Linked DNA regions of Drosophila melanogaster. The protein of the gene in region 3 interacts with the protein of the main gene of each other region in a pairwise test. Each region holds a gene or a part of one and is shown on either strand. Other genes may lie near its edges. The genes, in order: CG3107, kin17, Hsp60B and MFS15.

The links.
Region 1: the proteins of Hsp60B (region 3) and CG3107 interact in a two-hybrid assay, tested with the Drosophila melanogaster proteins (one large-scale study listed by BioGRID).
Region 2: the proteins of Hsp60B (region 3) and kin17 interact in a two-hybrid assay, tested with the Drosophila melanogaster proteins (one large-scale study listed by BioGRID).
Region 4: the proteins of Hsp60B (region 3) and MFS15 interact in a two-hybrid assay, tested with the Drosophila melanogaster proteins (one large-scale study listed by BioGRID).

What each region holds. Positions count from the first base shown.
Region 1 is NT_033778.4:5,086,811-5,096,725, forward strand, and holds CG3107 (uncharacterized protein), read left to right. Parts: upstream 1-3,770; 5' UTR 3,771-3,932; intron 3,933-4,193; exon of another isoform or gene 4,194-4,990; intron 4,991-5,061; 5' UTR 5,062-5,088; coding exon 5,089-5,666; intron 5,667-5,716; coding exon 5,717-8,243; 3' UTR 8,244-8,280; downstream 8,281-9,915. UniProt on the Drosophila melanogaster protein: ATP-independent protease that degrades mitochondrial transit peptides after their cleavage. Also degrades other unstructured peptides.
Region 2 is NT_037436.4:20,353,167-20,360,024, reverse strand, and holds kin17 (kin17), read right to left. Parts: upstream 3,219-6,858; 5' UTR 3,129-3,218; coding exon 2,157-3,128; intron 2,085-2,156; coding exon 1,884-2,084; 3' UTR 1,694-1,883; downstream 1-1,693. Other genes in the region: Prim2 (DNA primase subunit 2), read left to right, coding at 1-119; CG5665 (uncharacterized protein), read right to left, coding at 205-936, 989-1,248, 1,318-1,513; CG5618 (uncharacterized protein), read right to left, coding at 3,492-3,680, 3,745-4,720, 5,038-5,225, 5,620-5,799; eRF1 (eukaryotic translation release factor 1), read right to left, coding at 6,471-6,580.
Region 3 is NT_033779.5:724,586-732,143, reverse strand, and holds Hsp60B (heat shock protein 60B), read right to left. Parts: upstream 3,783-7,558; 5' UTR 3,637-3,782; coding exon 1,690-3,636; 3' UTR 1,580-1,689; downstream 1-1,579. UniProt on the Drosophila melanogaster protein: Prevents misfolding and promotes the refolding and proper assembly of unfolded polypeptides generated under stress conditions.
Region 4 is NT_033778.4:18,792,909-18,800,175, reverse strand, and holds MFS15 (major facilitator superfamily transporter 15), read left to right. Parts: upstream 1-3,497; 5' UTR 3,498-3,638; coding exon 3,639-3,699; exon of another isoform or gene 3,700-3,769; coding exon 3,770-3,906; intron 3,907-4,009; coding exon 4,010-5,107; intron 5,108-5,169; coding exon 5,170-5,367; 3' UTR 5,368-5,558; downstream 5,559-7,267. Other genes in the region: MFS14 (major facilitator superfamily transporter 14), read left to right, coding at 913-1,103, 1,384-2,460, 2,521-2,697; CG15080 (uncharacterized protein), read right to left, coding at 6,053-6,869, 6,922-7,202, 7,260-7,267.

The DNA.
Region 1 (9,915 bases), on a different chromosome or scaffold from region 3:
GCACACTATTTAAAATATATTACGGGTCCGTGGTTCGTTGGTCGCAGCGGCGGAGTTAAATGATTACTGGCTACTGTTGTTGTTGCTATAAGTTCCAGAATGAAGAAGACGCCGGGTCAGTTTCACTTCATTTTGATTTTTTTTCCTCGCAGAAGGATTAATACTTATTTCAACCTATCATAAACGTATCCTTTGACCTGTCACGAGACGGTGGTGTTTCAGACGGCTAACTGGAAGGTGAGAGGGACAACTGCAGCAAAGACTTAAGCTCTGATGGCAAAGCCAAGCCCGATTCGCCCAGTTCATACAACGAAAAAGCATACAAGTTAGGCATGAAAAATGATAGCAACGCTGACGAGTTTATAAGCGAAAAAGACGGTGACAATGATTATGACGGCCCAGCTGAAAACAACTCGCAGAACTCGGATAATGACAACTCGCAGATTGGAAAACGGGTGGGTCCTGGCAGAACTAAACCTATTCGCACGGGCAAGCCTGGAAGCTCGCGAAAGCATTACAATGACTTATGGAAGAAGCAATCAAATGTCCTGATTCAGAATTATGTTTGTAAGCCACGAATCGAGAGTACGACGCTGTTATGAACAACCAGATTTGGCAGAAAGTAGATCCTCCGAGAACAGAACGAGCTATAGGCTGCAAATGTGAAGAGGGATGCCAATGACCAAGTGCAGAGATACAAGGCACGCCTAGTAGCCAGGGGCTGTTCACAGCGGTATGAAATTTATTATGCAGAGACTTTTTGACCTGCTTGTCGGATGGAAAGTATTCGTTTCATACTTTCCCTGGCTGTACAGTTAAAATTACATATGCACCAAATGTATGTCTGTACAGCTTATTTAAATAGCGGTTTAACAGCCCCTAGGATTTCAAGCCAAAGATCATGCGGACGTCGTGCTTTTGCTAAAGAAAGCCATTTACGGCCTTAAAGAGTCTGACAGAGAGTGGAACTGTAAATTGGATGGAGTTTTGCGTAGTATTGGGTTTAATCCATGTACAAAAGACGGTCTAATGTGGACGATCTAATTCTAGCTTGTCAAGATAAAAATGATCTCATAAGCATAAAATGGAAACTCGCTCAATCCGTCAAACTGTCACGGACAGTTGCATATGTTTCTTGGATTTGAAGTATATCGAGAAGGCCAGCTGGGCACGATAATGTTAAGTCAGAGCCAGTATATTGAGAATCTGCTTCAGCGACACGGCATTAAGGATTGTATAGCAGCTGCAAATCCACTGGATGCAGCTTTCCAGTGCAAATGCGACAAAGAGGTGTTGATGTTGATGGATGCCAAGGAGTCAATGAGCAGAAAGCAGCAGAACTCATGTGGTTGGCGGTATCACCAAGGCGAGACATTTTACTTACAATGTCTAGATAGGCGTAGCGTAACAAGGATCCCCACAGTGAGCACTGGACATGAGTAAAACATGTACTCAGATATTTGGCATCGACAATGTATCTAAAATTTCATTATAAAACAAGAGAGAACGCTGTAGTCGAGTTCCCGACTATCAGATACCCGTTACTCACTGTTACTCATACTGTGAATGCGAACGCAAAATTTCATCATTTTTCTGGGATATCGTTATCGATATAGGGGAATAAAATGAGAAAAAAATTAAAAACTGTTCAGAAGTGTGGGCGTGACCGATTTGGCAGCTTTAGGGCGTTAGAGTGAGCAACTAATAATATTATGAAAAAATATCAAAGCAATCTCCAAAAGTGTGGGCGTGGCAGTTTTGGGCGGTTTTAGGGTCTTAGAGTGGGCGTGGCACGTTTTCCCTCAAATCGATGGAAATTTACAAGACTAATAAAATTATGAAAAAATATCCAACAATTTTTCAAAGGCGGGGGTGGTAGTTTTGTTTTTTGCAGATCGATAGAAATTGACAAAACTAATAAATTGTGAAAAAATATCAACACATGCGTCTATGCCTCTGGAACCTTTATGCTGAGTCTCAACCTTCTAGCTTTTAAAGTTCCTGAGATCTCGACGTTCACATGGACAGTAGGACAGACGGACATGGCCAGATCGACCCGGCTATTGATTCTGATCAAGAAAATATATACTTCGTAACGCATCCTTTTCCAGTTACATACTTTTCATCCAACGGGCGTACCCTTTATTGGCTGCGGAGAATCTGGAACATCGACAATAATGACAATTTAAGCTCTCACCAGTTGGCAAAGAATCCTGTACATGACGGTCTTTATCTTCATCTGTATCTTAATGTCGCTACTAAATCGTATACTTTCAAATTGCTATTCGCAATTCTTTATTCAATGATTTATGATCGTTCAAAAATAAAACATAATTCTGGGAGTTTTAAAATTGTTAAAAAATTCCAATTCACGTTTGATATGCTGTGCTGGATTAGGACATATTGCGTCCTCTCAAGATGTCACATCGGTATTTCTAATTTTTTGACATGTGCGTCAAAATATCGTCGTTGGTGGAATAGTAACATGAGAACGTTTTTTTTATTTAATTAACTTTTCGCTATTTATAAGTGAATTTCAAAAAATTTTAAAATTTCAAAAGCGCACATACATATGTAAAGAAAAGAAAGATCTAACTATCTATTTACGAGGGCTCAGAAAAGCATTTAGAATAAGCATCTAAATGATCCGTGTTGGCTTTCTGAGCTGAAGGCAATACCTTAACTTGTTGTTTGTAAACATGCGAACTTTGAAGACACATTTAAACTTAATTGCATATCAGCTGTGCTGCACTATCTCCGGTTACGTTCTCTCTCTCTCTCTCTCTCTTCCTAGTGCTCTCGCACCTTACCGTTCTGCTGTTTGCTCTGTAATTAAGTCGCTCATTAACATTCGCTTTCGTAACCTATGTATGCGCGATTCGATGCCAAGCTTAACCTAAAGAAATGAATTATAACCGTTCGAAATCTCTACTATAAAACGTGTATTCATTTCTTGAAAATATCTAAAAATTAATAGTAATAATAGCCACAATTTGACAAAACATTAAAACATTAAAAATCTACAACTTTTAGTATCATTTCTGAGAGACACTGCACTGGAAACCATTCGCAATATCGGATGACATTTACGCTAAAGAATTGGCAATATTACAAAACATTACAAACATTGGCAAACATTACCAATATTCTGTGGCTAAGGGCAATACAGAGTGGACTAGACTTCAAAAATTCAGTTCCAGTGTGTGAATCGATGGCATCGTTTCTGAAGCAGCGATGCAGGACGCTGGAGAATATGGAGTTCGCATAGGCAAGCTATGCGCCATGCATTCACAAGATGTAACAGATATGTAGTTAGATTTTACATAGATTGTATATAGATAGATCTTTCTTTTCTTAACATTTTTTGAATTTACCTAAATATAACGATAAAATATACATATGTAAGTTAAGACTATCACCCAGTATACAATCTGCCGAGAGAAATGCAAGAGCCTAAAGCTTTCAAGATAAGAGTGATGCCTTGACTTAAGATGTAGGGATAGCTTAAGAGATAATGATTGTGTGAGTTAGTTGATTTGCCTTGACTTAAGATGTTGGGATTGCTTAAGAGATAATGATTGTGTGAGTTAGTTAATTTCTGGATATTAATAATATTGAATACTCATTTAGCGCAGACCGCGCTTTTAAATGAAATTGTTAGCATTATATTTTTCATTCAAAGCATTTCATAATTTGTATGAAAACGTCCTAGTGTACCATTTTCCACCGTTCCCCCATCGCAGCTAAGTCATCGACGATAGCTTGACTCAATTATAAGTCGAATAAAATGTAATAATTTAGATTTTAATTGTCTTTTTTTTCTATACGCCGGTGAGTAAAATTATTTAGGTCCATTTCTGTTTGAATCAAAAATTAATGCCAATAAGGCATTGTTATGCCCGAAACACTACGTATACGTGCATATTTATCATGTATGTATATTATTAAGCAGTAATATACACGCTTACATACGTACATACATGCAATTGCATGAGAAACACTAAATTGTGGCATTCAGGGTCAAGATGATTGTCACAGTTCAGTTATTTTTAAAGTTTTTGCCGATTAGATCTATGGAATGATTTTTCATCAAGGCCGTTTTTAAGCTTTATCCAAATTCAGCCCAAGTTTATTGACCCATGTCGCCAATAACATTCTAACGCTCACAAACCAAACGAAACTGCCACTTCCACACTTTTGAAAATTGTTTTGATATTCTCTCGTTATTTCATTAGTGTTGTAAATTTCTATAGTGCTAAAAAACTTTGCTGTTGCCGAACAAGTCGATGGTTTGATTGGCAATGTTGCAAGTTGCGCAGTCTTGTTGAAACCAAATGTTTTCTAGACTATTCTCACGCACTTTTAAAAACAAAAATTCGTCGAGCATAGCTCGTTAGCATTTCCCATTGACGGCTCTATGATACCACCACCCCATAAACCGCACCAAATTGTGCATTTCTCTAGGTGCATCGATTGCTCATGGTATGCTTGTGGATTGGTGTCGGCCTATATGCGGCCGGTAAAATTGCTGATTGTGTTGAAGAATTCTCAGCGAAAACGATGGCCGGTTGGCTTCAGATCCTAAACCATCTGAATTTTGTGCGCTTTGAGACCCAAATCTTAGCGAAGATCCTTCACAATTTTGTTGGGCAAAGGTGTAACTCCTGCGCGCGGTGACGAATAGATGAGTTCCGTTCTTCTGTTACACTGGCCTCAACGGCCCCCATATGTATTTTCTACAGTGCGCACCCTGCGAAGTCTAGTCTGAATTGAAGGCCGATAATGAGCACCATTAAACTAGCGAAGCAAACGGTGTACAAATGACCACTGATTTTCGAAATAAAATTCAACGATTTGGTATCGCTGCTCAGCTATTATAGCTATTCATCAGCTAACATCAAAGGTAGCCCAACTGAACCCCATTGAAAAAAAAACCCCTTATAAAAAGGGTCGGATGTGGCTTTCTTCGGCAGTTACTAATAATTAAATTGTAAATACAAACACATGTATGATTCTTTGATATACAAATTTATACTTCTTTATATATTCTTTTGTATTTAGCGATTCAGCACGGATGGTGCTGAGTTCATGTTAAAAGGTGGAATGTTATCGCGGTGGAAGATGTGGTCTCCACAATACAAAATCTTGAGAAATCACCTTATAAATTTCAAGTCGGTGTCCACATATAAGAACATTTCTGGCGTCAATACCAAGCAGCCCAAATCTCCACGACAATTTGGTTGCATGCCACATGTAACTAAGAAAAGAAAATACAAGTATGAAGAGGGAAAGACATACCATGGCTTCCAATGCGAACGTGTGGAACACATTTCTGAATTTGAACTTACGTCCTATACTTTTCGATATGAGCGCACGGGTACAGAATTATGGCATATCGACCGAAATGATTCAAACAACGTATTTTCCATTAATTTTCGAACCACGCCCTTTGATTCTACTGGTCTACCTCATATTTTAGAGCATTTATCGTTGTGCGGTTCACAAAAATATCCTGTCAGGGACCCTTTCTTCAAAATGCTTAACCGCTCGGTAGCGACATTTATGAATGCAATGACTGGTCCAGATTATACTATTTATCCTTTTTCGACGATGAATGAGATAGATTTTAGGAATTTGCAACATATTTATTTAGATGCCGTATTCAGGTAAGATGTAAATAATTGACGATATCTCGTAATAATATCTTCCTTTCTAGACCAAACCTGGCGTATTTCGATTTTCTTCAAGAGGGCTGGAGGCTAGAAAACAAAGATATATTCGATAAACAATCGAAGCTTGTAATCAAAGGAGTTGTTTATAACGAAATGAAAGGTGCGTTTTCTGAAAACGCGCAGGTATTTAGTCAGAATTTACTCAATAATATTTTTCCTGATCACACATATCGACATGTGTCTGGCGGAAATCCATTGGAAATACCCAAGTTAGCATACAACGATTTAGTTGAATTCCACAAAAAATACTATCATCCAAGTAATGCTCGCATATATTCCTACGGATTATTTGATGCAAGTAAAACCCTCGCACTTCTCGACGAGGAGTATTTATCAGATCAAAGCTGGGTTGACAACTCTTACAGTTTAATACGTCAGCAAGAGCGTTGGACTCAGCCTCGTCTTGTACATATATCCAGTAGACTAGATAACATGGGTACAACAATTGATCGACAGAACCAAATTGCTATTGCACTGCTGATGTGTGATGCAACCAATATACAAGAAAGTTTTGAATTACACGTGCTATCTGAGGTACTTATTCGTGGGCCTAACTCCCCTTTTTACAAAAACCTTATAGAACCAAATTTTTCCGGTGGATACAATCAAACCACTGGATATTCATCGGATACTAAGGACACAACCTTCGTCGTTGGATTACAAGACCTTCGAGTTGAAGACTTCAAAAAATGCATTGAAATTTTTGACAAAACCATTATTAATTCTATGAATGACGGGTTTGATTCCCAGCATGTTGAAAGTGTTCTGCACAATCTTGAGTTGTCTTTAAAGCACCAGAATCCGAACTTCGGAAATACTTTGCTTTTTAATTCCACAGCATTATGGAATCATGATGGCGATGTAGTCAGTAATCTCCGCGTATCAGATATGATATCAGGGCTTCGGGAAAGCATAAGCCAGAATAAAAAATATTTCCAAGAGAAAATAGAGAAATATTTCGCCAATAACAATCATAGACTAACATTAACTATGTCACCTGATGAGGCATATGAGGATAAATTCAAACAGGCCGAGTTGGAGTTGGTAGAACAAAAAGTAAAACTTTTGGATGAAGTTAAGATTGAAAAAATATATGAGAGAGGATTAATATTGGATTCATATCAGAAGGCTGAGTCAAATACTGATCTTTTACCTTGTCTGACAATGAATGATGTAAGAGATCCACCAAAATGGCCTAAGCTATTCATACAAAATGTTCAAAATGTTCGGACCCAGATTTGCAAGGTTCCGACCAATGAAATTACTTATTTTAAGTGCATGTTTAATATAACAGGACTAAGTCATGAAGAAACTCAGCTTATGCCGCTTTTTTGCAATGTTATTAGTGCAATGGGCACCACAAACTATAATTATCGGGAGTTCGATAAGCACATCCTTTTAAAAACCGGTGGATTTGATTTTAAGTTACACTTAATTGAAGATGTTAGGGATTCAAAAAGTTACAGTCTAAGCGTAATGATAAACACACATGCACTTAATAACAATGTTCCAGAGATGTTTGCCTTGTGCCAAGAGTTGATTAAAAATGTTAGGTTTGATGACTCGGAGCGACTTAAAATGCTTATAGAAAATTATATATCATATATATCTGTGGGAGTGGCTAGTTCTGGTCATTTATATGCTATGTTGGGAGCAACATCACAAGTGTGTGATGCTGGTAAACTCAAATCGCTACTATATGGGGTAGATCATATAGACTTTATGAAAAATTTTGTACATTCTACAAGCACGGTAGATATATGTGATAAATTGTCGACAATTGCATCAAAAGTTTTTAACAAGGATAATATGCGTGGCGCCATTAACACAACACAATCTTATGAGCCATCGGCTATAAGTAATTACGAAAAATTTTTGGAGAGCCTGCCAACATTTGGGAAAACACAAACAAGTCGAAATATCCATTATTTGGACCCTAGCTGTCAACAATACGTGATGAACATACCAGTTAATTACTGTGCTAAAGCTTTGTTCACAGTCCCATATCTCCACCAAGACCATCCAACACTGCGAGTTTTGGCAAAATTGCTATCAGCCAAATATCTATTGCCTGTTATTCGCGAGAAGAATGGCGCTTACGGAGCTGGTGCGAAAATCAGCTCAGACGGGATTTTCAGTTTTTATAGTTATCGAGATCCAAATTCAACTAAAACGCTTAACGCTTTTGATGAAACTTATAAATGGTTACGTGCAAATCAAAATGTAATTGACCAACAGTCTCTTTTTGAGTCGAAGCTTGGTGTGTTGCAGCAATTAGACACTCCAATAGCACCTGGAAATATTGGCATCGATTATTTCCTTTATGAAGTGTCACAAGAGGATTTTGAGAGCTATCGCTCCCGAATGCTCTCTGTAACTATTGATGATCTGCAATGCGCTATAGAAAATTATTTTGGAAAAGAGTCCATGCATTATGGAAAATGCATTTTGGGTCCAGTCAATGCAAATTTGGAGCTTGAAACTAGTCACAAATGGATAATAAATAATTAACTAGTTGTAAATGTAATAAATTTATAAAATTCAATTTATTTTATTGGTTTATTTCTTTCATATATGTCCAAAGGACTTATGGGATTAATCAGGAAATTTAATATAAAAGAGATCCCTTGTTTTTTAATCATATACCTTTGAAAAAACGTTGATTTATATGCGCTAAGTGTCACATGTATCGTTTCATATATAGACTCTCGGGGTTTCCTAATACTTCCCATGACTAGTAAACGGTAACCTTTTCACCATTTCAGTCAGTCAAATTCTCAATTACACTCTCATCGCTGTCACCGAAGTCCAAATGTAGGAAGTTGGAACCAATAAATATTATTTAAGCTAAGGGTAATAATACTACCTTGGAATATTTCCCTGCATTCTTTGAAATTGGATTTTATCAAAGTAACATCTTCGATTTATTTAGATACTCAGTCAGACTTAATTAATTTGATTAAATACACAGTTGGATTCAAAAGTTAGCTACGCTCCATTACCGAAATTCGACTGCCAGGCCAGTGTTTTGCCGGCCGCTTAGCCAAATCCCACGGTGTCATCGCATTCCGCTGCAGTCACACGCGCAGCGTCGTCAGCGGTACGCTACAGAGCTCTAGGGTCGTTGACCTGTCGTCCGGTGCTGACGTTGCGATGGAGGTGGGGTAGGAACTACCCCGCAGCTGCAATAGTGGCTTCGAACGGGGTTGGGAGGGGGAAGCAAGTGCTGCGTTCTGACTCCTCCCCCTTCAAGATCTGCGTCCCCCAGATTAAGTAGCCTTGGTTTGTCCGGAGGTAACAGGCGGATCCGGGAACAAGGTAATATTGCCTAATTTCTGTAGTCCATAGGTAGAGGTCAATTTTCTTCACAGGAAATACAAGAGAGAAACGATGAGCAGAGTCAATGCTGCCTGCGTAAGAAATGAAGCCAACAACTCCCCGGTCACCTCGGAAATCTTTTCCAAGATCTTTAAACTCACGTCACGCATCTACTCCAGAGATTGGCGTTGGCTGATACTTGTGTTAGGACGGCCGGCAATGACATCAAGTGGCAGTTTGAGTAGCTCGTGAAATTTCGGCCACCAACTGTTAAGGCCTCGCAAGCGTCTTATCTAGCTGCCAAGCTCTTGTGACTTCCGAGACTTGGTTGGTAAGGATAATAGCATAGTTTAGGATAGCAGTCGTCACATAGATGTCCCCATCAATGACAATTACTATTGCGATGGCCTCGTTTATTCGTAATTGACTCGTGGGTGGCGTCAAAGAGTCTGGAGTTAATCCTCAGTTGTTGGTCACTATTCTTTAAGGGCACCTTCTGTGTTGCCAGAATTGTGTTCCAGTCAGCTGCGTCGGGATTCCCAGCTATCCATTTCCATGCAGATCCCAGCCAGTTTATCGAGCAAGGTTTCCTCACGGGGGCACTGGCTATCCGGTTAACACACTCCGTTGCGCCTTTGAGATGAGTACTCAAAAAAGATCTCAATCCTCCTTTCCTACAAGGAAGCGGCATCTTAAGCGATTTCGTCCATAAGTTGTCGCATTTTTCCAAGGTCAACCACGTGAGCCAGCTTGAAGACTCCATTGATAATACAGATATTGCCGAAGCGGGACTATCGGCTCTTCATTCTTGTAGACGGCTACCACTAAGCAAGTCAGAGGAAGATTACAAAAAAAAAGATCTTAC
Region 2 (6,858 bases), on a different chromosome or scaffold from region 3:
GTGACGATGACGATGAGTTGTGGCGAATCGCGGAAACCCAGGAGCGTATCATGCAGAGCCAAAAGGACATATCCGAGGCCTTCAATGATGATCTAGATCTTACGCAAATCGATTACTAAACGTTGTACAACATAAATTAACTAAGGTACATATATATTTAAGCATCGTAAATAAGAAAAGTTATATTATTCCATGGTTCGGACTTCACCTCCGGCACAAGTAGCACGTTTTAAGCCTAGGATCAACAGTGTTCTCCGAGTTTCGGCCGTAAGGGGGCCAGCCATTGACATCTACGTAGTAGATGCCCCTGGCTTGGGGATTCATTCGATAGCCCATCGGGGAAACTATGCCAGCAGAACAATCCCGTTTTCTTAGCTCATCCCAAGAAGCGCACTTCTTGCCCATAAAGTTCTTCTCTTGGTGTGGATATGCACTCTCGGCGAAATACTCAACGGCTCGGGTATGAGAGCATCCGATGGTTAGGCAGCCTGGCTGGATGGGATGTGCTCCGCCGGGATAGAAGTCCACATCACCGAGGGGTCCACGCTTGGCCAAAATACCAATGTTGGTGTGGATTATGTCCACTAGCTTGGCATCGCCACGCGTCAATCCTGGCAGAATCTTTTCCCGCCTGAAACATGGCTTGGCCGGATCCAAGCCAGTTATCCTGGGTATAAGTTTTCCGGTAAGCTTCTTAAAAGTCCGACCAGCAGTGCCCATAATGTGAGCTCCTAGTGAATGTCCTACAAAGAAATCAGAACCAGAATTTATGGACACAAAGGATTCCTTTATGAACCCACCAATCAAGTGAATATTTCGAAGTGGGGTCAGCTCTATAAGGTGGGTCAGACCAACTCCAATATGCTCTCCAATTAAATCCGTGTTCAGCGCCGACCACGCGTAGAAGGTGTCCACATAGTCAGCCGCATCTACAATCTGAGATGGAAGCCTTAGATATGAACTTTCAGAATTGATTCACGAGACGAACCACAAAATTCACATCGCCACGACACATGAATGCCTTAGAGATCATCGAAATGGCCGAGGATTCGTTTACGGTGTTGGTCCATCCGGTGGCCAGAATTACCACCTTACGTCCCTTGCTGAATCGAGAGTGCTTCCACAGCTTCGAGGCCTCCAGCAGGGGCACACTGTAGTTCTGGCACGGCGTCATGTACTGAAAATGCATCTTCCTTATGTCCGGAGTGATTTGCGCAGGGATTCTGTCCATAAAGAGGGTGGAAGAACCTGGCATTTAGATCACAATAAAATCAAATAACTTTTTATATGTTGATAAACACAGGACGTTATCCTTACACACAGCATCAATTATGTTGGAAGCCAATTCAAGTGGAGCAGCTGTGAGTATGTTCGCCTTAATGGTGGCGATGTCAGTTAAAAGTCTAGGCACTGCATCCCACCAGCTTCGCGTCAACCTTCCCTCTTCGTCAACAGCTATATCTCCCAATGCTCCGAGGCGTAATAGGATAACAATGCCACACAGAATCCTCATATCCCTTCTTTAGCACACCGATGCTGGAACTAGTTTAAGTTTTGCAAGTATAGAAATTATCGCTAGTAAAGCGGCCATTGTTCGCTGGTTTTATTGTTCCCAAACTGAACTCGAAAATATTGTTTGCATACCCACTGAAATATTCGTACACTGAGTAAATGAGAGTGTTCTAGTTATTTTCATTAAAAAGTCATGTTTTATTAACCCAAATGCTGAGCAGTCCAAATTTAAGTAACGAACGTATTATGTGCAGATTTTTGTCTAGTTCGATTTCAGCCTTTCTCCGAAATGGTTAAGATTTTTTACTTACATATATATCAAATTAGGCATAAAAAGGTACAACTATAGAATTTAACTTAGAAAAGCGCAGCTAGGCGCCATGTAGTTTAGATATATCTTCGTATTGCACGTTGTCTACAATTCTGCCTTTGAGAGGACCGTGCAATATTTCCACGCTGACTGAATATCTGCGCTCGTCCAGTTTCCTTAGCAGAGCCTCGGATCCCCGATAAGCGCCATTAACCACCATGACAGGCTTGTCCAAAGCGGGGATTACCGTCTCCAAATGAGCCTGGAAAACAAAAAAAAATAAAAACACCTGGGTAAATATCCGTTATAGATTAAAATTGGGTTTCCATCTTACTTGATCCACTTTTAGCTTTTCCCCAGTCTCCAAGAACTTGATTTTGCCCTGATATCTGTCAATTACGTCCAGGACAACCGCTTTTTGTTTGAAGAACTTTTCGCCCATGGATTTGGAAATAAATTTGACCACGATACCCTTGTGCAGCCAGTAGTCCTTGCGGTTGGCACGCTCCTTTTTGCTTTCCTCCTGCTTGATGATCTCGTCCAGCACCGACCGCGTTTGGCTGTCTCCAGCCACGGATTTGGGTTTCTTGAACACCTTTTCTTCAGCTTCAGGGGCAGGTCGCTTGGCTAGAGCGGATTTCCCTAGCACAGTGTCAGGCTGGAACTTTTTCTCAAGGCGAATATCAAGCTTGAGTGGTTCGTTCTCTTCGCGCTTTAGCTCGGTGAACTTCTCCTGGCCTTCGTCCTCCTCGCCGTCCTTGGCCTTGGCATTTTTAATCTGCTGCTCAATGAAGTCGGCCATCCGCTCCTCGTCGTCCTTCTCCATCTTCTCCTTGCGATCAGCCTTCGCCTGTCGTTCCATGGCCTCTGGACTGCGATCAATGTAGGTGACGAACCAGCCCTTCTCCGTCTCATCCGCTATCACTTGCCCAGTCCGGCCCAGCCACTTCACGTAGTCGGACAGGGTGAGCCATCGGGTGGCGTTCATGTGGATGTGCTCCTTGTGGGCAATGTACTCCTGGTAGATCTTGTTGGCGCTGGTTCGCTTCGTGCCGAACCGCCGGCGCAGCAACTCCATGTAGCCGTCGGAGAACTCTTTGCTGAAGCTGTGCAGGAATTTGCCAGGATTGTCCGCAAAGAGGAGCAACTGGCGCTGGTGGGACTCGCTCATCGTGTGGCACTTGAAGCCGTTTTCATCGCGGCACTGCTTCTCGCACATCTGGCAGTACCAGCGCAGCTTCTGCAGACCCTTCGATTTCATCTTGTTGGCGAGGTACTTGGGCGTACCTACCTCGGCGCGACCCATCGTAGCGTCTTTTTATGTGCGTGGTTTTACAAATAATTTCTCAACAAAAACTTATTGTTTTGATCTCACGTAAAGGTATGACCGCGCTGGGGTATAACAACAATACCCGTGAACACTTTTATCGATAGTTACTGCTGGGGGATGTTCGTGTGACCAGGCTAATATTATTTGTTGATAGCGGTAGAAAATGAATTTAAAAAACTTAATATTCATTTCTTGAAAGATTTTTATTTAAATATTCAAAATAGAGATTAAGCCGAGTTTACATAATAAAGGCGTATTTTTTATCACAAAGTAATAACTACAATGAAATGTACAATTGAACGATTTCCATTAATTAGCTTAATTCACATAGAAAATAATTCAAAGCACAATTTTCTCGCCCAATCTCTCAATTTCGTCCAAAATGAAGTCCAACTCTTTGCTTTTCAGGATGGGAAAACAAGTGAAGACCATGCGAAAGAAGTTGCCCAGATTTTTAGCTTTAAGAGGCGAGTAACCAATCATCAAAGTGCCGCTGTGGGCCATTTGCTCCTTAATTTTCGGGGCCACCTTTAAAGGAGCATATAAAAATGTGAGCTTAAATGGTCTATCAAAGCCATTGTTATTCACTTACAGTGTAAAGTCGACTCCACCATTCAGGCGTCTCCTCCTCGCTGGACACCCTCATTGCTTTCGGAATGAACCAAAAGCAGACATTGGAGTACTCGTGCTCCGGGATCACCAGTCTAAAGCGATCTCCACGCTGGCGCAGCTTGCCTTCCAGCAACCTGGCGATGTGGATGGCGTGGTCCACCATGAGTCCATACTTTCCATATCCGCGAGCCTTAAGCATTAGCCAGAACTTGAAAGCGTCGATCTTGCGGCCGCACTGGACACTCTTGTTTCCCGTATCGTAGGATACATCATAGAACTTGTCCTGCTGGAACAAATAGTGCGCCTCGGTGCTGTTGCATCTTTCCAGCAGACGGCCAGATTCCCTGGTCAAAAAGAGTGAACACTGCAATGGAGCGCCGATGGTTTTGTGCGGATTCCAGGAAAACGAATTCGCCCGCTCGAGGCCGGCAATGAGCGATCGGTTCTTGGCGGAGAGTAGTGCAGCGCCTCCCAGACAGGCGTCCACATGGAGCCACAGACCATGTCGTTCCGTCACATCCGCCGCACCATTGATATCATCAAAGGCACCCAACACAGTGGTGCCTGCAGTACAGTTGACAAAGAACGGTTCACCGCCACGTGCCTTTGCCTCTGCGATCTTCGCCTCCAGGTCGTCCAACAGCATCTGACCCCGCTCATTGGTCCTCACCGACACACAGTTGTAGCTGCCCAATCCCAGCCAGTTGGCCGCCTTCACGAAGCTGTAGTGCGACTCGTCGGAGGTAAAGAGCACCAGCGGTCGCATTCCAAACATTCCAGACGTCTTCACCTCGGGCGCGATCTTATAGCGGGCCAGAACCATGCCGTACATGTTGGAGGTGGAGCCACCGGGCGCAAAGATGCCATCGCCTTCCTTGTATCCCGCTAACTTGCAGATGGTCGCGATCACCTCAGTTTCGATCAAGCTAAACACGGGCGCAACTTCGTAGGTGTATCTGAAACAAAAGTTTATTGTGTCTTGTTGGATACCTCGGTTAAAAGTCTGATTTTGGTAGTCCTATCTAGGAAATCTCATCTAAATGATTAATAACTTGCAATGATTGTGTATGAACTCTGCTTAATCCCCATTTAAATTAATCGAAAGGGGGGGGGGGGGGTTATGAAACATACATGTAGTACTTTGCAATCTCCATTACATAGCGCAATTATCTGTACGTTGAACCCCGACACCACTTGTAGATTGGAACACGAGATGCAATCAGCGGTCACTCATATAGACAAGACACATGTGTGGAATAAGGCGCAGACTTACGTGCTGCCGTTCATGGCCTCGGTGACCAGGGCTCCTGCCAGTCCAAACGGGTCCAGCTGGCCAAAGAGCTGATTGTGGAAGCGGCCGTGCGAGGTTTTCACAGAGTAATGGATCACCTGCTGGCACAGCTCCTCGATCTCCGCGAGCGAGCAGTTTTCCGTCTCTCGAACCTTCAGGTTAATCAGTTCCTGGAAGTGATGGTGCGAAATCATGTAATCTCAAGATTGTTATAGAACAGCGACTTTTGCAATAAGAAAGTATATTAAAGATTCAACATATTTCTAAAACGTTTTCTGTTTCGAACTAATAATATCTTTACCCAGAAAAAACCGACCATAATCTATGAAATAACAAACAATTCAATTATAATTAAAACTATCAGATACTAGCATGAGTGTGCTCAATCAGGAAGTGCTACTATCAATTGACTCACATTTCGTCGGGCAAGCCATAGTACAATTGCTACAATTTGCGGTCGGGTGGTCAATTTTCGAATGAACTCTTCCATTAATCAGTTCTCTGTTATCTCTGGTTATCTCCACATCGGCAGACGCCGAATCGTCTATCACTTGCTCCACTCACCTTAAGTTTGTCTGGCTGCAAAAAGGGGACTATCTTCTGCTTGTCCCATTTCTGGGGATCCACGCAGAAGGTATCCTCCTTCCGGAGAAGGTGGAATACGTTCTCCAGGATCTTCCAGTCGTCCATGAGGCCATCGCGAATCTGGTCAACAGTCTCTGCTCCATCCACTGATTCAGCCATACTACACTCGGTCGGTAGAAGTTTCCGTATCTCAATTGGCCAGTAAAAGGCTGATTATTTTTGGCTTTCGAGATCCGAACCTCTTCCGTCGACGATTCAATCAGAAGTGCCCCGTCCGACTGCAGCAGATTGTGTTTTAATGTTATCTTGATCAAATTCTCATCAAGTTGTAAACCCTCGTCTTCGCTCGCACTCAAATGGAAATACAAATGATCGGGGCTGTAAGAACACACATACACCTCCACGCTTGTGCTCTTTAGAGTGAACCTCGTTTTATTACGAAAGCGAAATAAAAGTGATATTAAAGTCGTGCATATTTAGGTTACTTAAACATACAATATATATCAATTAAGCACGTGCCTTATTAGCTGATTCGGCTTATCTCGTAACCAAAATCCTGCACAATTCGTTTTCTTTTCATCTCGACGCATTATCGTCAAATTCAATCGAAATTTGCATATTTACCCTATCGATTAAACAAGTTTCATGTGCATGCCACCAGAAAACTTGGTCAACTAATTGGATGCCCAACACCGCAGAACTTAGCTGAGCTTACTTTTTGGAAGTCTCGCTGCAATGATTACTTACAAATATTCAAACGAGTACGGATACCTGCACGACACTGCGGCTCAGAAACGAGTTTCAGCTCACCAGATGTATCTGAGCGATTCTTAGATGCAAATCAAGGGCGAAACAAGTACTACGAGTGCTTTTTGCTGTCGTCCACGTGCATTGCCAACTAATGAAGTGGGAATCTCGCAGTAAACTGTTTCCAGTGTGCCTGCAAATAGAAAGTAGAAAATGAAATGCCCATTTCACTTTACTTTCATTGCTGTACTGGTAGTACTCCAAGTGGCTACCAGCATTTTACTTATCCAGCAGATAGCAGAGTCGGAATTTTATCAGCTTTCGGTGCAAATTTCGTTTTCAAGCTATAATAGAACGATTAAAACTCACAGATACAATTCTCCTTGTACCCAAAAACTTTAGGAAACGTGGCGTATTGTCAATGTAGATTTAGATTTAGATTTATAGAGGAACAATTAATTATATAACAAG
Region 3 (7,558 bases):
AAAGAACGCGAAAATGTTTGCCAATGTAATTAAAAATACATTTGTGGTAAAGAGCAGTGAGAAGTGAGCGTAGGCCGATCGACCAGAAGGAAGTCGATGCTGGAATACTGGGATGCTGGACACGGAAAGCCCCATCTGTAATCGGCGATCAGTGCAAATTGTCGTGAATTAGTCGGCCACTCAAATCTATGGCATTAGCCTCGAAGTCGGAACGCGAGTCACATTAAAGCACCGCCGCCCGTTTTTGAGGTCCCGATCGGGAAAGACCAAAACGGGAGAGAGCGAAAAGTATTATAGTACCACATCACACATACGCCGTGTATGACGGCGAAGACTGAGGAGCCATACGCGTGAAATGTCAAAAGCTAAAAATGCCATTTGCTGTGCTCCAATCACTCGTTGGCCTTTCGGCGTTGTGCACTTGCAAAAATTTTGGCACCTACGCTCCTACATGAAGTTCTCGCTTATCAGTTGTAAGCATCATTTAACAGCATAATAAATAAAAAAGAAAACAAATATTGAATAATTTAATTGAGCGTTTATAACGAGGTATCGCTTATGAATGCGGTGTTTAAATGTGATCATTAAGATAATCTAAAAAACGAGTTTGATGGCTTGTCAGGCCTTAACTCTGCAAGTGTAAATTAGATTGACTGGCTGATAACATTTTTTTTTTCTGAGTACTATAGAAATATTTTTTGTTTAGTAGACGTTCAAGAAAAGTCGACGACAAGAGGGGTTCCCAGGCAAAGTGCCCATGATTCGCTCATTGTTGTCATTGTTCGCAGTCTCACACGCAGTCAAAAAGAAGGAAAAACAAAAACAAGACTTGCCTGCACATGCAGATTGGCCAAGAGCGATAGCGATAGCCTTTTTATTTGCCTTTCGTCTGTTTTTGGTTTTTGGCTCAGAGTTTTCCGACTTGCCGAATGGAGTTGTTGCTGTGCCTTGGCGATGGTGCCCAATATGTTTGCCAGATGAACAATTTCCTTTTCGACGCGAAACGACCAGACCAAGCCACCTGACTAGGACCGATTCGCGAGGTCCAAGAGGCTGTGGCTTTTCCCTGGCCCACGCTCGATGCTCGATGGGTCCGTCCACCATTTTCGGTTCGTTTGCGGGCCTCGATGAAAAATTTGCAAATTGGAATTACTTATTTATTGATGCATGTTTGATGTGACGCTCTTGTGGAGGCTCCCAGCCTCAGGCCCCCCTTCTTGCGCACTCACTCTCATGTAACGAATCGCTTTTTTAGCTGCGGGCCACAAATGAAATCTGCAAACACAAACCATGCAAAGTACGGGGGAAAAAACCGAGGGTCGGCTCACATGTGTGAGAAATTGCTGTTTGTTTTATGCAAATGATCATCGCATTGCAGCTGGATTCGCTCTGCCGGTCGCCGTTCCAAATTTTCGGCTGCAATTAAAAACCGAAAGTGTGAAGGAAGTGTAGCTTTTTGCAGACCAGCATAATGAACCGGTTGAAAGATATTTGGCCAGAAAACTGCTGGTGTAGGGAAAAGGCCAATAATTCACTTTCTCAAGTCATTTGGAAGGGTTCCCGACTGTTTTATACAATTCGTTTTCGATTGTCAATTTATATTTTAGATGAACACATAAAATTTAGACACTCAACAGATATTTGAACTATAGAAACGATTTGAGCTGGAGCGGATAACGGAAGCGGGTTCTACATCATCCCACTGTCAATGTCACGCACCTCTACTTGCTCCATGCCGGGAATAGCCTTGACCATTTCATTCATCTCCTCGGCAGTGGGACCGTCATTGCTGGCAGAAGCGCTCATTCCGCCACCAGCGCCCATTCCGCCGAATCCACCTCCCATTCCTCCCATACCTCCCATACCACCCATGCCTCCCATACCACCCATGCCACCCAATCCACTTAAGGCTGCCAGCTCCTCTAAGCCACCCATGTTCATGTCCAGTCCATCATCCATTCCGCCGCCAGCTCCTGACAACTTGGACAAAAGATCATCGTTCCGGGAGTCGGTGATAACCACCTCGGTGGTGCTCAGAAGAGAGGCCACTCCAGCTGCATCCGTGATGGCGGTCCGCAGCACCTTTGTGGGATCAATAATGCCCTTCTCGACCAGCCGACAGTACTCATCGCCCATGGCATCGTAGCCGTAGTCTTCCGAGCCATTCAACACCTTGGCCACCACCATTGGGCCATCAACTCCGGCGTTTTGAGCTATGGTCTGGCAAGGCATCCTCAGGGCATTGCAGACGATATCGACGCCCTTCTGGAGATCTGCACTCTCCGTTTTGAGTTCCTGGAGGTAGGGAATGCAGCGCAAAAAGGCCGTACCGCCACCTGGGACAATTCCCTCTTCGATGGCCGCTCGAGTGGCATTCAAGGCGTCCACCACACGGTCCTTTTTCTCATTCACCTCAACTTCACTGCCTCCACCAATGTGCAGCACTGCCACGCCCTTCGTGAGGGCGGAGAGGCGTTGGCGCAGACGATCCCGCTGCTCTGGCTTGATTTGCTTTTCCGCCAGTTCATCTTGAATTTGCTGGATGCGCATTTCCAAAAGTCCTGTCTTGGGTTTGCCCTGCAGGAGCATGGTGCTGTCCTTGCTAATCACAGCCTCGCCAACCTGACCCAGATCCTCCAGCTTAGCCTCCTCCATTTTGGAATAGTTGATGTCATCGCCGAAAATAGTTGCTCCCGTGGCAGCGGATATATCGCCTATAAGCTCCTTGCGGTGGTGTCCATAGCTGGGCGATTTGACGGCGCACACCTGGAGGCCCAACCTGAGCTTGTTCAGGACCAAAGCATTGAGGGCTTCCCCGCTGATGTCCTCGGCTATGATGATCAGGGGACGACGCTGCCTCAGGGATTGCTCCAGACCTTTAACTATTTGCGAGAGTCCAGTGATCTTCTTCAGGGATATCATTACAAGGGCGTTGGCAAACTCCACCTTGGACCCCTTGGAGCTGTTTACGAAAAAGGGCGACACATAGCCGTTGTCGAAGCGCAGGCCCTGGATAATATTTAGCTCGTCCTTCAGGCGCTTGCCATCCTTTACAGTAATAGTTCCTCTTGGACCCACTTTGTCGGTGGCCTCACCAATGAGCCGCCCAATTTCAGTATCCCCGTTCGCGGAGAGGGTGGCTACTTGTTGGATCTCCTCACGCGTTTCCACTGCCTTGGACATTTCCTTCAGCTTGTCCTTTACGACGTCAACAGCTAACATGACACCTCGACGAATCTCCACGGGATTAGCCCCCATGGTAATCTGATTGAATCCTTCCTTGGCAATCGCTCGAGCCAAAACTGTTGCTGTGGTCGTGCCGTCACCCGCCGACTCATTCGTATTATCGGCCACATCCTGGACCAACTTGGCGCCCAGATTCATGTGCTGGTCCTTTAGGGCAATCGAGCGCGCGACCGTGAAGCCGTCCTTGGTGATCTTCGGCGAGGTCCATGGTCGCTCCACGATCACACTGCGACCCTTGGGCCCCATGGTCACAGCAACGGCATCAGCCAGAATATCAACGCCCCGGATCATCATTGCCCGTACTCCGGAGCCAAAGCGCACGTCCTTCGAGTACATCCGCGCGAAACAGCGACTAGAGGTAATCGCCTTGGGCACACACGACCGAAACATTTTGCACTTAAGTTTGAAACTATAATAAAAAAAAAACTTTCAAAACTTTTGGTTCTAATATTTTTTCGTTTGATCTCAGACACGAAGTGAGTGCAACTAATATGTAGGTTGTTGACTCGATACTGACGGACTAGACGGACTCGTTCAAGGCCTACTCCCATATTCAAATCCAAATTTTGTTTCCATTATCTTTAAGCTTCTCGTTTTATGTAACATGTGCAAGCCATTCTTCTTTATTTATATTGCTTTTCCTTGAGCACTTTTCTCTTTTTTCTTTTTTCTCTTTGCGGACAAGTTTCCAGGCAATCGCCAGATTTCACAACATTCATTTGTCTGGCGCCTGCCCGTCTGCGATCTGCGGCTCTGAAATCTTCGACAACAGAAGCCGTGCCTTCTGTTTGCCGGAATAAATTAGCGTGCAGCTAATAAGCCCCGACATTCTGGGTGGAGTCTGCCCATTTGCAGTTCTATTCGCCTCCATCGGCTGAGGCTGACCCACAAACAAGACCAGCGTGTGCAGATTTCCCAGAACTGCGGTGCGACTGTTCTGCACCGGAGGATGGATGCATTTTCCTCGGCTGACCGTTCCCATTTCGAAGGCAGCTGTCAAAAATTGTGTGCTGCCTACTGCAAACTAAAGAAATTCACACATTTTGCTGCAAGCCAAACGGCAAATGGAAATGGAAATGGGGAGTTTGAGGCGGAGATGGAAATGGAGATGGGATGAAAATGTTGGGTGCACAGCGCGCAAGAAGGCATTACTTTCGCACGATGAATTGCACTTAGGTATGAATGTTTAGAAATAGGTTTGCATATAAATTCAATGCGATTTATATGAGCTATCTCTCGTATTCTATACGTATAAAATAATGTCACATTTAGTTCAGTAGGTATAACTTTTTTCTGTGTGCCGCAGACGGGAATTGGAACTGGGGTCGGAATCGGGATCCGTTTCCTGGCCGCTTGACGCGTTGATTGCCATGTGCAAGCGGTAGCACAGTAGCCGGGTTTTGTGTCAAAAGCACGTCACCGATTTGAAGGGGAAGGGCGGAGGAGCTGATTGATGAGGCATTTGCATGTTCGACGACTCTTCTTCCTCTCGCAACCTTTCTCCCCATCTGCGCCAACTCTGCGACATGTGAAAGTGTCCATGGTGGGAAGACCACCTGGTGGGCTGTGCGATAATCGTAACTACAAGCGATCTGCAGGGTCTCTTGTCGGCTACAAATTACTTTCGCTGGATAGCGAATAAGCCTCAATCTATGATTAATTGCAGGCCATCTTCGGGGATTCTCCAATTCATTTCAGTATTTTTGGTGGGCCAAAATTAACCCACTGACCGTTGGCTGATGATTTCCTATTGGTTTTGGCAGATTTTTTGCCGGCTCTGTCATTACCCGCGGATGGATCCGTGGATCGAGCAGATGAAGTCGTTCGGGTAATTGTGGAGCAGACAGCAAAGAAAGTTTTAATGAGAAATGGATAGACTGCAGACGATAGACTGGCAGTTCAATCTGAGCATTTGCGTAAGTACCAGGCAGACGAAATTCCTGGATCTGGGATCTGGGGCAGCCAAGTGCAGATTGAGCTGATGGGAGCGATCTATCGATGAACTGCACTAAAATAAATAATTTGGTGGTCGTCATAGCAAATTATCAGGTTCAACAATTTTAAATGGCCAATAATTTTGATCTTGAATTACAGTAATTAACGGGCATATAAAATGTGTGTGTCATGTTTCAATTCTGGCCATACGCTAGCTGTTAGTGCATATTTCTGAGTGTAATGAGGCAGCTAAAGCTTAGCCTCAATTTAGCCTTTGCCCCCCTAGTTTTTTTGACCCAACTGTGGCCAACTCTGCGTCGCGGAATGAGTGCCTCTCATATTGTCACGTACCGGGCGGTGTCAAGAGTGCATGAAAATCGTTGGCCGCATTCACTGTAATTAACTTTTTGACTCGATTTGACTGAGGCTGGGAGCTGGGAGCTGGGAGCTGGGAGCTGGAGCCCACCAGTTCGACCGGCCACCGTGTCGTATAAGCAACTGGCACCGATCGAAAATCGCAGAGCAGGTGCTCCGTAGCTCGATTTCGGTGGCTGTGCAATTTAAATTCCTATACGGTTCAATGAAGCGGCCGGGGAATGCGTGCAGCGTACAATTCGATTTCGTTTCAGTTTGTGTTTGTTTATCAGTCCCCCCGAACAATGCACAAACATTCGCTGGCTAATAATTAAAACCATTTTAGCACGCCGCTTAAATGGCATCGCTCATACGCCACGTTAGCCGCGCTGTCCCCCGCGGTTGACTTGCCAAATTGGCTGTCAGTGGGCTCGAAACAACTAAAGCCACACAACGACTTAAACTTAAGCTAGACACAAACTGCAGCAAGCCAACGAAACGGCAGCCTTTGTGGCAGCAACGGTGGCAAAATAATTTGCATAACCCGCAATCTGTGTAATCTCCCAGGTTGGTGGCATAAATTAAAAGGAAAATGTCAGACTTAGCCAATAAAAGAAGAAGTCAAGAGGTAGGGTGGGCAGATCACGGCAAAGGTTGATCTAATTAATTATACCTACTATTGAACTTTAAACTAAACATCTTTGGTTTATCAATTCAGGACGTTCCCACTTCATCATTAGGCATACAAAAAAAAAAACTAAATAAAACAATCCTTCTTCTCTCGAAGATCTCTCCTGCCCATGACCACAAATCTGCAGCCACCCACTCGACCGGCGATTTGTAGTGCCACATCGGTACGAGTGTCGTACGAGTGTGGACAAAACAGTTGACCCGGAGTGTCAGAGTCGTCGGAATGGAGACGGCACTTCACACGGCGCCGTGGCAAAGACAACTTAATGCTTAATACTTATTGTCGCGCCTTAATCTAGATACACTCGGCACTAACAACCAGCAACCAGGAGGTTGGTGGAGGTTGGTAAGTGGGGGGCAGTGGATAGTCCAATCCAATCCCAGCCAATCTGCAGCTCGTGCTCGTCCGGCAAACACAAAATTGAGTGGCAAATGTTTTTCTGTGGTTTTTTGCTAAGCCTTTGAACATTTTGTTGTCACGGCTGTCGCCCCTGCTCCACGAACCACACATGCCAAAAGCCGCTGGCCGGTCTGTCAGTCTTCCTATGACTTCCACTCCCGCTTCCAAAAACCAGAAAAGCTAAAAAAACACACAGAAAAAATCCCAATCGCAGTCGGACTGTAAATCTGCATGCGCGTCGCGGTGTCAAAACTTTTTTAAACAAAATAATTAAATGTAGAGAAGAGGGAAGCCTCGGCAACAGCGCATAAATAGTTGCCTGCTTGGCACGGCCCCCCTAAAAAAACTCGTCTCAAAAACCCCCTCGATTTTCCGCAAAAGCTCATGCAAAGAAATCCGCTAGAAAGTCATGTTCGTGTGCTGCAACTTCGAATTGAAGCTGCAGAATCAGCCGAAAAATGTGCCTGCTCCTCATCCCCCTTACCAGCTCACCTCATCAGAGCTGAGTGCGCGTGCTCACTCCACTCACGCCAGATATTCAAAAAAGGATTTCTGACACGAAGTGGGCCTTTAAAAACTCACGAGCCGTTTTTTTTTTTTTAACGTTTTGGTACATCGTACTTACAAATGGTTTTCATTGTCAAATTTAGATTGGTTCGATCATTTCAATTTAAATTTATTTTGGAATACTTTTAGCGTACAAACCCCCCTTTTCGAGAGTCACGCGACCATCTCCTTCGGGGACTTCTGCCTGCTGCTTGCTGCCTGCTCCCAGCTGCATAATAATTTATGATCGCGTCCAAGATGTGGGTTAATCGTGTTTTGGGCTAGTTTCTTGCCCCAGCTTGTCTCTGCGCGGAGACTGCATCCCCGGCAGACTGCAGCATCATCTAAATACAATCCCAAGATTGCTGCTGGTTGGCTTTCTGCGCT
Region 4 (7,267 bases), on a different chromosome or scaffold from region 3:
CAAACTGTAGAGACTTTCGACTGTAGCTGTAATTAATGGTTTGCAATCAAACCCCAGCTCGGGGTTCAATAGACCCCAGTGCCGTGTAAGGCCGCGTTGCAAGGTTGCCAGTGGTGAGGCGGTGTTGCAATGTGCACCACCCTGCCACCGCCTACCGGCTGTCAGCCCACACTCCTATTTATAAAGACTAAGCCATTTATGGCGAGCCAAAGTCGGGTTTAAAAATAGCCAAATGCACGAAAACAAATCCGCGTAAGGCAGAGACCAGGCCAGGAAAGAGCTAACCATGTGTGTGTACAATGTATGATGGCATATGCCGCGGCCGAGGGATCGTCGTCACGTGAGGATCGGCCGATCGATCGGCCGGTTGCCCCGAAACAGGTAGTGTGTTTGTGCGTTTGTGCACATGTACCTTATACTCTATACTTTTGAGGTGGGGTACATATAGTACAGCACCGTCTCGCTGCATTTTACACGACAATAACAAAGAGGAGGTCTCACAAAGTCCAATGCTCGATTCTCAGTGTTCGCAGCCAAGTTTTGGTCGAGTGGGTGTCTCTGTATATGTACATATGTGATGTTACCACCCATCTCTCTCTGGCCCGCTGGCAAGTGCGTGCGTGAACAAGATTTTGACATAGTCAAAGTGTTTTATAAATAAACGCGCCCCACATACTTACATGGCTACCAGTTTGGGGCTTACGGAGCGGCCAACTCGCAGAGAAAGAGAGATTGAGAGAGACAGTGAGCTCCGCGCTCGTTGATTTTGATAAGGCGCCGCGAGAGAGCGAGACGGAGTAAAAGCGCCACATGTGAAGCACGCCCCAACCCCTCACCAACCGTCACCAATGCTCCCCACTTCGTAGACCCTATGGCATAACCAACTGATCCGATCTCTCTTTCCTATTACAGAGAAATTCTTCGGGGTGAGGCATGTGCAGTGCATCCTGTGCTTCTTCTGCCTCGCGATGAGCTACGCTTGGCGGGTGAACCTCAGTGTGGCCCTGGTGGCCATGACGGACAACAGCACCTCCCTAGCTCAGAACAACACCAATACCGGAGTGGCGCCAAGCGAACCCGGTTTTGATTTCTTTAATTCCGAGGTAAGTGCCGGAAGCTCCCAAACAACCGATCTCTAATGATTCGAAACTCTCCAAACGATCTGAAACTTCGTATTCAAATGTATTTTGAGTTGTTACTCATGCAATTTTTATAATCATTACAACAAAATATTACATTAAATCACATACACATACTATGTGGTTTTTGAGGTTTATCGTTTGAACTTGAAGTTCGCTTTTTCAAGCATATGTTTCCTATGTTTTGGAGGTTTCTAGAGCTATTCACCCGTACCCTATCTTACCAGTACTATTCTATTCACAGCGCTACTACAACTTCACCCAGAAGGAGAAGGGCAACCTGCAGGCCAGTTTCTTCTTTGGCTACATCGTGACCCAAGTGCCAGGTGGTTATATCGCCCAGCGCTATGGAGCCAAGACCATGCTGATGTACGGATTGGGTATAGCCGCTTTGATCACGATGCTCTCGCCGATGTCCCTGCAATTCGGATGGGTCGCCCTTGCCGTGATGCGATTCGTGATGGGCCTGGCCCAGGGTGCAGTACATCCGGCCACGCATGCGCTTTTGGCCAAGTGGTCGCCCGCGGATGAGCGAGGAATGCTGGGAACACTCTGCTACTCGGGCGCCCAGTTCGGAACGGTGGTGATGCTGGCCACTAGCGGTTTCATTGCCGACTCCGTCTTGGGCTGGCCGAGTATCTTCTATTTGGGCGGAGCATGCGGCTTTATTTGGATGGTTTTCTGGTACCTATTCTCGGCCAGCACGCCGGAGGAACACCGTCTGATTTCGCCCGGAGAGCTGAAGTACATTACGGATTCGCGGAGCGATGGCAAGATGCAATCCGCCGAGAAACTGGCACCCACGCCCTGGAAGGCCATCTTTAGTTCCCTGCCCTTCCTGTCTCTGCTGGTGGTGCACTGCACCCACATTTTCGGTTACTGGCTGCTGCTCATGCAGATTCCCACGTACATGAAGAAGATCTACCACGTGGACATCAAGAAGGGTGCGCTGCTCTCCTCCCTACCCTACATGGTGATGCTGCTCCTCAGCTTCTTTTTCGTCTGGCTATCCAAAGTGCTCCAAAAGAAGGAAGGCATGTCTCTGTCCTTCAACCGCAAGATTTTCAACAGCATTGGCCATTGGATACCTATGCTCTCGCTGATCGCGCTAGGTTATGTGCCGGCGGATAATGCTCCACTGGCGGTAACACTGCTCACCCTAACGGTGGGAATCAGCGGAGCCACCTATCTGGGCTTCCAGGTGAACCACATCGATCTGTCCCCGAATTACGCCGGAACCCTGATGGGCATTACGAATTGTGCGGCAAACGTGATGAGTGGAATCGCACCAGTGATCGTGGGACAGATTGTCGTCGATGAGGTGAGTTGATTGGCCCTGATATGGCAGTGAATCCCAATTAACTCTCGTTTTTATCTTTAGACAAGCGTAACTGAGTGGCGATTGGTGTTCCTGCTGGCTGCCGCCTTCTACTTCTTGGGCAATCTTCTCTTCGTCATATTTGGACGCACGGAGGTGCAATGGTGGGACTCCCCACGGGACAATAAGGAGGATGCGGAGCAGGGCACGCCTCTGGCGCCCAATGGCCAGGTCAAATAGAGCCTGGGATGGCATGTTCATACCGCATCCAGAATCATCCGGGCTGTTGTTTCTTAGATTCGTAGGCGTAGTTAGTTAGTTAGACACCAGACAAGCTGAAAGTTAACTTTAGTGACGATCGCGTGCTTCCATTAGCGATATTATACGGTAATTGCTTAGTCCTAAGGCAGCGTAAATTATTATTGTTTGCAGTATTTCCATAATGTACATAATCCAAAAAAAGAAAGAAAGAAAGAAACACAAACTATCAATCAAACCAATTAAACGTGCAACTTGAGAATACGTTCAGTGTAAATAGGGACAAAGCCCGCGGCGAGCTGCAGCATCAACTCTAGTAATTGTTATGTTTTAGTTTTAAGTTAGGCATTAGCGAAAACTTGTGATGAAAAAAGTAAACTAAAAAAGGCAAAAAATGAATAATGAAGACAACACTAGCCATGAATAAAGCAGCTCACTTCGCAGCTGTGAAAGAGTCAAAATGTAACGAAATCATTTGTGTTTTATTTGAACTGGGGTTTGAATTTGATAGTCCGACACTTGTTGCTATCGATTGAATTGCACTATCAACCCTAATGGAACTATCGAATAGTAGCGTTGAATTATGAGATTTCTTCACTAGTTGGTTTTGGTTATGTTAGTATCTTATTGATTTTAATAATAATAGTAATAATAATTAGAAAGACAGGCTTTTATGCTTGTTATGAACATTTTGTTTAACAATATACAAGTTTTAAACTGCAGTCCACCCTAATCTATCGTTGCACTTGTTGAAGCAATAGTGTCGATAGTGCCGCCTCTATCTAAGTGGGCAGCAGCTGGCACTTGTTGTTGTCATCAGCTGTGTTATGTTTAGACGCTAGTTCCATCCATTCCCAGCTGCCCCTAGCAAGTATCCAACGCATCACACAAGTTGGCTACGTGGAAGACACTGCACCTGCAATATGGTGCTGGGATGCCTGCCATGCTGCAATCACAACGGCTACCAGCAGATCGGGAACACGGGTGGGTGGTGACATGACCTTTTGGCCTTTGTTACCGCATCCGCTTTGTTAATTACGCGCACCTTTTGCAGGTCCACGGTTCGGAGTGCGTCATCTGCAGTGCATCCTTGTGTTCTTCGGACTGGCCGTGGCCTACTCCCTTCGCGTTAATCTCTCCGTGGCCATTGTGGCCATGACGGATCGCAATGCCAGCAATCCGGATTTTCCTGTATGTATGCAGATAAGAGCGCAGAATGAGTCAACAATTATTTTCGCTTGCATTATTTAATGAGGACCATAATTTAAATTTAAATCAACTTAAAATTTCGTAGGAATTCGACTGGAATGAGAGTACAAAGTCGTACCTGCTTAGTAGCTTCTTCTGGGGCTACGTGGTCACCCAAATACCTGGAGGTTACTTATCCGCCATTTACGGTGCCAAGTACATGCTCTTCTACGGCGTTCTTATCTGCTCCTGTTTGGCATTGCTAACACCGTTTTGCGCCGTAAACGGTGGCTGGACAGTGGTGGTGGTGCTCCGTGCGGTGCAAGGACTCTGCCAGGGCGTCATTTTCCCCTCGACACATACGTTCCTATCGAAGTGGGCGCCGGCTGAGGAACGTGGACGACTGGTGGGCTACACGTACTCTGGCTCCCAGTTTGGCACCGTCGTAATGCTGTCAGTTAGCGGATACATTGCCTCATCCTCACTGGGCTGGCCCAGCACTTTTTACATACCCGGATGCGTTGGTATCGTTTGGTCATTCGTGTGGCTATACCTATGTTCCAGTACGCCGGCGCAACATCCAACGATAACGCCAAATGAGCGAAGGTTCATTGAATCTTCTGGACAGGCGAGGAGACCATCGGATGCAGGACGCGAGGAACAGCCACGTCCACCGACTCCATGGTGGCGCATCTTCACTTCCGTACCTTTTCTAGTGCTCGTCCTGGCGCACTGTGCTAACAATTGGGGCTTCTGGACTTTGCTTACGGAGATTCCCACCTTTATGAAAAACGTTCTCGGCATGGACATTAAGAATAATGGTCCGCTTTCCGCGCTACCCTACTTCGCTATGATCCTGCTTACCTGTGTTTTCATCTGGCTGTCAGACACACTGAAACAAAGAGGAACAGTTATCCCCCTGGGATTCTCCAGGAAGTTCTTCAACACGCTGGGAATGTGGCTTCCCATGCTCGCACTTATCGGACTGGGATACATTACCGAGGGTGAGGCGAATGTCCGGCTGGCCATTGGATTACTAACCGCTGCGGTGGCCACCAATTCGGCCACTTATCTGGGCTTCCATGTAAACCACATCGATTTGTCACCGAACTATGCGGGTACACTAATGGGCATTACAAATTGTGCGGCCAATTTTATGAGCATACTGGCACCCCTGATAGTAGGACTAATAGTCTGGGATGAGGTAGGAAATGCGACCTTTTAATCTTTAATGGTTTTTTAAATGATTTTCGTTATCCTTTCCAGACAAATCCGGCGCAATGGCGAATTGTATTCTTCTTCACCGCGTTTGTTTACTTCATTGGGAATCTACTGTTTATGCTTTTCGGACGCACAAGGGTTCAACCGTGGAATAGTCGCCCCACAACGAGAACTCCGTCGCCTGGAGGTGGTGGAGAGCGGGATGAAGGTACTGAGGATCGAGGTCCGCTCATTGGCGCATAAGAAATAACAAAAAACGTGGCCTAAGGATTGGTTGTAGATGTGAAACATTTGTACCTTGAAGGCGAAGCATTCCTTGGAATTGATGAATCGCAATTAGTATCGTATTACTAGTTATACACGCAACACACATTTATGTCTACATATATGCGAAATATATATACATATATATACAATTTACGTATAAAGCATTGAAGCACTCATAGTTTTAATTTTTCGTTTCGTTTTTATTGGTATTTGTATTTGCATTGTTTGTACACAATGATGTACATATGGTAGACTTATATGCTGGCTATGTGGTATCCTGACGTAATGCTATCTCTAAGGTCTACATACTAATGGTTCTAACTGGAAATATCAAGGGTTTTCAAAAGAGCGCTCAATGCAGGTAAAGTTTCTTAATAGAAATTTCATTTGTGGTTATTGTTATCTTATTCAAAATTCGTTTTAAAAAAATGTATGGAATTATCTTCACTCTTCGATATTTCATTATTCTTTTAAAGTGCTTATTTTTAACATATTTTTAATTAAAGCTAAGTAATTACAGCGGATACGGTTTTGTATTTTGGGCCAATGCAGCTGGAGGAGCTATCCTCCATCGTCCTGGACCCCGTGAACCCCATCCGTATCCCCTCTGCCCCTATGTACATGATGAATCTTTTCAATTTCCGCTGCCGGAGGAGTGTGCTCAGTGCAGTTTGTGATTGGCGGGCAGATCTTCGGAACGGATGCATCGTCCGCGGTAGCAGATCTCCGTTTCGGAGGTGACTTTGGTCGACGTGGACGTGGCGTACACCACATGCTCCATCAGATCCTTGTGGAAGCTGTCCTTTTTGCTCTCCGCCACGGTGGCTTCCGTGGTGATGGCTTCATCCGTGGGCGCTAAAGTCGTTGTTTCCGGGGGAGTGACTGGACTGGTTCGTCGGATGCTTGTGTACTCCTGGCGACGCTTGCCTACGGCCGCTAGAGCGGCGGTCACTGCTTCTCCTTCACTTTCCTCTATGGCAAACAGATCGTGCAGTTGCTTCTTCACCTCGGAGAAGATGCTCGGTTGCACTTCCAGATCGTCCACATCCGCTGCCGTGTCCATGCGGCGTGTGGCGCTCTCCTCGCTCAAGGGAAGAATGGAGGTAATGGTGGCCTCCTCAACGTCTTGGGCAGTGGTGACCTCATACTCCTCGGGCGTCGTGGGGGCTGCCACTGTGGTAGTCACAACCAAAGGCTCTGTCTGGGCTTCGGTGGATGGAGTTAATGGAGTGGTGGTCTTGGGTAGCTCCTCCTTTTCGCTGGCTGCTTGAAGAGCATTGTAGAGCTGAGGTCCTAGATTCTGGGACTCAGCCGTCTCGAAATTTTCCGAGTTATCCGAGCCAGATAAGCGGTTCTTTTTCTGCCACTTGCCACGTCTGTTTAGGCGACTAAAAGTAGTGCTGGTGGTTTCAGTGGTCGACTCCTCGGGAGCTTTGCCCATCACTTCCTCTAAAAGCTCGGCAAAGGATTTCTCTGGCCTATAAATATGTATTTAGTGTATTGTTCGATATATAAAGCAACAGTTCTTACTTCAGATTGGGCGCCATAATAGTGGTGCGCTGAACCGACGATCCACCAAGATCAGCAGCAACATTAATATCATAGGTCTCTGGTTGATTGGTTGGTCCTGCGGTCACAATCTCCGGTTCACTCTCGAAGTTATGGGTTTCCGTTTTGTATTTGGGACTCAATGGCTTGAAGCTGTTCGTGTTTGAGTTGCTGTTGGCTGTTTCCGATGATGGCGACCACTGGGATTCCTGACCTTCCAGCTGGAAGGGTTGCTTGTACCGACGACGATGGGTGATGGGAGACTTAATGGGTTACATATGTTAAAAGGAGTTTTAATATATTGTATCAAACTCGCATACCACGGTGG